2 linked regions of the Daphnia pulex genome follow. The protein of the gene in region 1 interacts with the protein of each later gene in a pairwise test. Links are inferred from orthologs where the notes say so. Each region holds a gene or a part of one and is shown in the gene's direction. Other genes may lie near its edges.

Region 1 (3,818 bases):
TTATCGAGAAGCTTCCTTTCGCTTCCAATTTCGCACAGCAGCCAACCATATAACCCTGTTTTTTGAAAGCCTTGCCTTTCGTCAGTGGTATGGAGTATGGACTATGGAGAGATGGTTTCCAGCATCCATTTTTAAAAATTTCCCATAAGGGGCCGTCTGCTCATTTTACTAAAAGGTCGAGTTGACTGTTTATATGTCGCAACTCGCAACGTCCTAGATGGCGTTGATTCAACTCGACCTCCATACAAAATCGCTAGTAAAAAAGTAGCAAAGTAGCTTGCCGTCGAATCCCCTTATGGGAAATTTAACATGGTCATTGGCATCCATCTTTCCATACCCTTGCTTTCGTTTATTGTTTAGTTTATTTCCTGAAGAGGCCTTTATCTGTTTGCGAGCATGGCGACATGCGATTGGCTCGAGTCTTGTGTTGGCGAGAGGAGAGATAATATATTAAGGAATTATATAAAATAAATTATTATTAATATTAACTAATTTAAGCTTAGTAATAGCTTAGTTAAGTTAGAGCACAAGTTCGTAATCCAGTGGCCGTCTGAGACAGCATTTTCAAATTTGGAATTGGAACATTTTCCACGAATGGGAATGGAGAAATCAGGCTCTGTCCCTAAACTGCGAAAGCGAAACGCGAAACGCGAAACGCCTAAAATGCGGAAAGGCTGTGCGAAACGGACCAAAATTTTTGGACCGTTTCGCGGGACCAAATGCCGGAGGGCATACTAAAATGCGAAACCTCAAAATGCGAAACGAAAATGTTTTCTTTTCCCCACCAGAGTGCAAATTGACGGATGAGGCCCGTTTAGGCCGCCATGTTTCATGACTCATAGTATATGTAATGTGAATGTATGTATGGATATGAATGTGTGTACTGTGTACACTATATATTAACGAATATTACTTTTCGCTAGAGTTTTGAAAATAAAATGTTTGTATTTCATGGGAAAACAGTCTTATCAAATTAAATTTATTTAGTCGACTCGATTACTCTTGTTTCTTCAAGAGCACGGGGGTCCCTCGGATGAGCTCTTGAATGAGAAATCTCCAATTAAGTCTTTGTGGAATAGAGGCGGAAGAAGCTTTCAGCACGTTTTAGCTGGGTGGCATTTTCAATAAATTTTAATCGAATAGCTATATATATTTAGACGCCGGGCTGCTATCGGCTGATAGTTTTTTCCATTTGACTTGGTCAGCCGATTTTCCTCGGCGAACAACTGTTGAGAGAAATTCCGGCTAAGAGAAACAGATTGATCGAATGACATAGAGAACGTCGACGACGTAACAATGTGTTAATGTACCCCGCTGGGCGCTGTGGGATTATTTTTGTTTAAGACATTGAAAGGGGGGAGCAATCAAATTTTATACACGGAAAATTTAGTTCGAACTGATTCCCGGTAGAGGGATTTTCCCGTGTATGCTTATGGAATCGCGATTGCTCGGATAACTTACTTGATACGCCCCTTGACGAGTAGATTTTTGTGACGCAAGTATGTTAATGGCGTCGTCTGTTGACGTTCTGTTGACATTTCGCACCCACCGATTTCGCATTTTAGTACGGACCCAAGGCCTAAAATGCGAAACAGGGTCCCAACTTTTGGGTCCGTTTCGCACAGCTTTTCCGCATTTTAGGCGTTTCGCGTTTCGCGTTTCGCTTTCGCAGTTTAGGGACAGCCGAGAAATCAGATATGTTTATGAACGCACCCTTAAAACAAATGAAGGCAGTAATGCAGTATACGTTCACTCGCACGTGGTCTTTGTGTCTTCTGCTTCAACATTCTGTCGTTAGTTGGTTCAGAATTTCAAGCTTAAATCTCGAAGTGCCTGCTAACAATTTTTAAGCTTTTACACTTTCATGATGGCGAAAAGAAAGAAGAGCACCATCATGCCGGAATCGAAAGATAACAAAATTGAAGAAACTGCATTGCCATTGGTGCGAACATCAGACGAGCCTGTGACGAAAAAGGTATATGCTAATCTAAAAATCAGTGACAATTTTTTTAATTCATGCTTAAATCAAATAGGCGAAATGGGTGAACAAACAAAGAGTTCTTGTCTTTGCTGCACGTGGAATAACACAAAGAGATAGGCACTTGATGGTTGACTTGCGTGATATGATGCCTCACTCCAAAACAGAAAGTAAATTTGAGAGAAAGGACCCTCTATTTGTCATCAATGAAGTAACATTTTCTTTTCAATTTCATAAATTAAGTACTAATATTCAAATAACATCTTCATGTAGATTTGTGAAATGAAGAATTGTAGTAAATGCATATTTTTTGAAGGAAGGAAAAAACAAGATTTGTTTCTTTGGCTTGCAGATGTTCCAAAAGGGCCTAGTGCTAAATTTTATATTGAAAATGGTCAGTTTATTAAAGTAATAATATGATCAGTACTAAATTTATTATTTTTTACTAGTGCACACAATGAAAGAATTGAAAATGACTGGAAATTGCTTAAAGGGCACAAGACCATTGCTATCGTTTGACTCCAGTTTTGACACACATCCACATTGGTCTCTATTAAAGGAACTCATGACACAGGCAAGGTTTTATTTATATTTTCTTCAGGATGACATAATTTTTTTTTATTTTAAAATTTTAAGATCTTTTCAACTCCTAAAAATCATCCCAAAAGTCAACCATTCTTTGACCATGTTTTCACTTTTACGATAATTGAAAATCGGATCTGGTTTCGAAACTTTCAAATTCTTGAAGAGGATGGTCAGCTTGCGGAAATAGGTATTTTTATTTTTTTTCCCTTTGGTTTCTAAGATTGTTGTTTAAAATGATTCGAATGTATAGGGCCACGATTTGTGTTGAATCCCATCAAAGTTTTCGATGGGAGTTTTGGCGGAGAAACTATTTGGGAAAATTCTAGTTATGTTACGCCAAATGCGGTATTTTTAAATAATCCTTTTCCACTTACAACACATCCTATCAAGTTTCTTCTTTAGTATCGCCGAATGCTGAACTTACAAACAGGATTGAAGTATCGTCAGAAAATTGAGCAAAAGTTGTCGCTGGCAGCAAGACAACCGACAGGAGATCTATGCGATTTGGACCCGCTTGATGAAGAGGTTTTTGAGGACAAAAATGCAGCTAAAATTGTTAAAGAAGTTGCGAGCAATCGTGGTGAAGGTGGGAAAAAAAAGAAAAAAGAGAAGAAAAAGAAGATGAAGAACCCAAAAGCAACTGGCAAGAAAAGAGCTGGAGCTATTTTTAATGAAATCTTGGGTGATTCTGGCGATGAATAACTGTTGTCTTGTAAACGACGTACTGAATACAAACCGTTCTGACGCTGATATTTTCTTGAGTTCCCCTTTTAAATAACAAAGACAATAAATTGTTTAGGTTAAGTAATTTTTATTTCATTTTATTAGAAATAAACATGAAATGATTACAATAAAAAAAAACAGACAACTTAAAATGTCTTCACTTAGTGAACTGAAATCAGAAGTTTTTTATGTCTTAAGCGAGTCATTATGTGATTGGTCTGATTTCCCACTCAAGCACAGATAAAGAAGTGGTCTTGATATGTGACTCCTGTGTGTTTGTCTTTGGATTAACTCATGGTGCATGGTGGAAACAGTCTATAAATTTATTTGACATATAAGACAGACCATATAGACTGGGTGGAAAGGTGGATTGGCACTGCATCACTATACACAGGACTGCAGGACAGCGAGGACTGGGCTGGGACTAAGTGAGTTTACACTTGAAAAATTAAAATACCTGGTATCTGGTAACCTGGACCTGGAGTACATTAGTAATGGGTTGGACATTTGGCAATGCTGTTATTGACTGTTG
Region 2 (3,379 bases), about 6.8 Mb from region 1:
TTTTTAAATAGTTAGATGACACAATAGGGTGCAAAGCTGCTATTTTTAGTTGAATATTTACTTGTGGACCACAGTCAGCAGATTTACTTCCAGCTCCATTGAATGTGTGTATGTCAACAAAAATTGAGCACATTTTGAAAACCCAAGAAGAATATGTCTGTTGAAAAATTCGGATATTAGTTGATTTTGGTGATAGTTAAAAATGTAGAGATTTTACCCTGATTCTAAGGCTGACATGGGAATTACTTTGTCTAGTTGAAAGATTAGCCTTTCATTCAGGCGTCCAAAGAGTGAAGCTTTACCCTGTCCGTAGTTGTAGTTTTCCCACTTTCCAGTCAGCTAAAAACAGCAAAAGTGTAAACAATATGATAATGAGCCATTATGGAGATTTGGGGGGAAACAAAGAAGACCACAATTTACACGAAGCAAATTCACAATAAACCACATGGTCTTTACTCAAACAGATAAACAAGTAACTTAGATTGGTTGAAATTTATGAAACAGGAATTCATACCTGCTTTTGGTGAATTTTGTTAAGAATATTCTCAGCAGCTTTTCTTCTAGGCAAACTTGACATCATTTACTAGGAATTTTGACACCAACAGCAACCAACCAAAGGCCACAATAGAAGCGCCGTTAATTTGTCTTCAGAAAAAGTGACAACAACAAAACAACAGAACCATTTTAACGATTTCAAACTCAAAATTAGCCGAACGTCCGACGTGGAAATAATAATGGAAAGATAGAACAGAATCCATAGATTTGATTGATTTACACAGATGAGAGATGAAAACCAGCCGAAAAATGTGGCCGACACTAGCGCTTACGTAGACGGGATCCAAAATCCTGATTCTCCACCCCCTACATTTAAAATAACTCGCGAGACTGGCCTAACATTTACTAGTTAACGCAGCAGTCACTAGTTGGCGAGATAGAAAATGAGCAACACCATATTTCTTCCTCTTCTCTATCTCTATCATCTGTATTTTGCTACAGAACATCGAAGGACGGGAACGGCAACCTTTGTTTACGTCGAACAAGAAAAACTCAAGGCCACGTCTCCTTTCAGTTTCACGGGTTGCCTAACCCCATGAGACGCTGCCGTACAAAGAGGTTCAATGCCTTCCCGCTAGGGTGACTCCATAAAGGTATAAACACGTGCTTGAAATTTGTCTGCTTTTCTGCCAGAAAGAATTGCGGTGCCGTCAACTCGTGGTTAAGGACGCCTAAAAAAGAGTTGATAATTATTAATTCACAATGAAGAGAAAACTCCCCGTCAATGAATCCAGCTCTGATAGCGATGAAAGTGAAGTTGATTCTGATGAAGAGGTATTTAGTTTTGTCGTTTTTTTTCCATTTTGTGTTGCTCAATATTCAATTGTTATTTTCAGCTGCTAGAAGCCTATCAGAGAGGCGAGGTGCAACCCGGATTGAACCAAAAAGAAGAAGTTGCACGGACCTTTACCAACAACACTGTAATGCGTACATTTTCTTTTCAAGTTGAGTCATTTTGCTAATGTGTTTATATCTTCTTCAGACCTTGCTGAATTCGAAGCTAAGCGATATACATCTGAAGTTGGACTGGGTTGAAAGACTTGACTTGACCACATCACTAGAGCCAATTGTCGATAGCATTCTCAATGGCAAAGAGGATACTGAACCACAGTACAAGATTGAAACTCCTGGGGACAGAATCGTCGATGATCTGCAGAGGGAAACATTGTTTTACCGCCAAGCACAGAGTGCCATCATTGAAGGGCTTGCCAGACTCAAAACACTAGGAATTCCCACAAAGAGACCAGAAGACTATTTTGCTCAAATGGCAAAATCTGACGATCACATGTTGAAGGTGATTTTTTTGTTAAATGTTTTGTCAAGGAGCTGTAATACCAGCATTATTATTTGTGATAGGTCAAAAGGCGAGTTCTTACGCAGCAGATGGCCCAGGAAAAATGTCAGAAAGTTAAAAAACTCAGAGAGCTCAAGAAATATGGTAAAAAAGTCCAAATTGAAGTTGGTCTTCAACGCGCCAAGGAGAAGAAGGAGCTCCTTTCCAAAGTCAAGCAATACCGCGAAGGCAAATTGGCTTCACTCGATTTCCTCGACGATGACGGCGGCAAGAAGAAAAACATGGTGGAAATCACCAAGCAAAAGACGAAGGAAAGGAACGAATCCAAAGTCTTGTAATGCCAACTATATTTTTAATTATTTTAATGTTGTGCTATATTTAATTGTCGTTTTTAATTCTATAGTCAACCCATGAGCAAAGGCCCAGTCAAAGGCAAGGGTAAAGGCAAGGGTGCCGTGAAGGGTAGAGGAGGCAAAGGTGATAAACGCGCGTCGAAAGAAAACAAATTTGGCTTTGGTGGCAAAAAAAGCGGTTCAAAGAAGAACAACATGAAAAAAGATTCCGGCAACGACAGAAACAGCAAAGCAGGACGAGGTGGACCAGGCGGCCGAGCGAAACAAGGAGGAGGCAAGAAAGCCAAAGGTGGTGGTGGTGCCCGTAAACGTTAAAAAACTAAATGTTTAAACGACTTGCTTTCCAATGAATTAAACGATGTGACACAGTAATGACGTTTTTATCGCGTGTACTTTATTCGTATTTACACATATTTGGCCAGGTTTTCTTGAATGTACAAGTATTATACTCTTTTTTCTTTTTGAAGATAAAACAGATCGACTGAAAGCGGGTAAATATTATCCCTATTACGCAACTACTGAATGGGAACGACCTTATTTGGTTCCCTCTGAAAACAAAATATAAAACAAGAACTAATGATACGGGGATAGATTTTTTTGACAGGTGTAAATTATTTAGACGAATCTTATTCCCGTCATTTTTATGCGTACGTGGCAGCGTATACCCTATTATTATTATTTGGCGCCTTCATAAGCATGGTGAGTTTGGTGTGCTAAATTAAAAATTAAAAAAAGGTAATGACATGTTCCAATAGCTCAAGAAACAACAAATCATTCTTACGCTTGTAAAAGACAGCCTGGAACTCTATATTGGGACAAAGCTCTTGAATCTTCTGAATTATCCTGGCTTTGTCAGCTTTAGTGCTGTCTATGTTCCATATCTATTAAAATGTATGATAGAGACTTAAATTTTTGTCAGAGTTGAAAATGAGCCTAATATTACCTGAACAATATCATCTCTGTCTCTGACAGAAACAGACACTCCACAAATATCATCTCCTGGTTCCACATAATCACAGAATTGTTCTCCAATGGCAGCCAACAGCAGTTCCCTCCAGACTGTCACCTGGCAATAATATAATCAAGAAGAAGTTGTTTAGTATTTCCAGCCTTCAGCGCTAAAAGGGTCTAGACTTACAGTATCAGGTTTGAAGCATTTGATCTTCCAGGTGCCCCC

The links.
Region 2: the proteins of ribosome biogenesis protein BRX1 homolog (region 1) and probable rRNA-processing protein EBP2 interact in binary tests that used the Drosophila melanogaster proteins (3 or more experiments, as listed by UniProt). The link is inferred for Daphnia pulex from reciprocal best matches to the Drosophila melanogaster genes CG11583 and CG1542.

The regions. Positions count from the first base shown.
Region 1 is NC_060022.1:6,872,222-6,876,039, forward strand, and holds ribosome biogenesis protein BRX1 homolog, read left to right. Parts: upstream 1-1,727; 5' UTR 1,728-1,864; coding exon 1,865-1,975; intron 1,976-2,033; coding exon 2,034-2,189; intron 2,190-2,251; coding exon 2,252-2,372; intron 2,373-2,427; coding exon 2,428-2,552; intron 2,553-2,614; coding exon 2,615-2,750; intron 2,751-2,813; coding exon 2,814-2,908; intron 2,909-2,965; coding exon 2,966-3,265; 3' UTR 3,266-3,313; downstream 3,314-3,818. UniProt on the Drosophila melanogaster protein: Required for biogenesis of the 60S ribosomal subunit.
Region 2 is NC_060022.1:62,424-65,802, reverse strand, and holds probable rRNA-processing protein EBP2, read left to right. Parts: upstream 1-1,155; 5' UTR 1,156-1,257; coding exon 1,258-1,329; intron 1,330-1,391; coding exon 1,392-1,475; intron 1,476-1,537; coding exon 1,538-1,849; intron 1,850-1,911; coding exon 1,912-2,183; intron 2,184-2,252; coding exon 2,253-2,517; 3' UTR 2,518-2,574; downstream 2,575-3,379. Other genes in the region: uncharacterized protein LOC124195596, read right to left, coding at 62-157, 218-339, 515-580; eukaryotic translation initiation factor 4E type 3-like, read right to left, coding at 2,878-2,915, 2,984-3,083, 3,146-3,268, 3,341-3,379. UniProt on the Drosophila melanogaster protein: Required for the processing of the 27S pre-rRNA.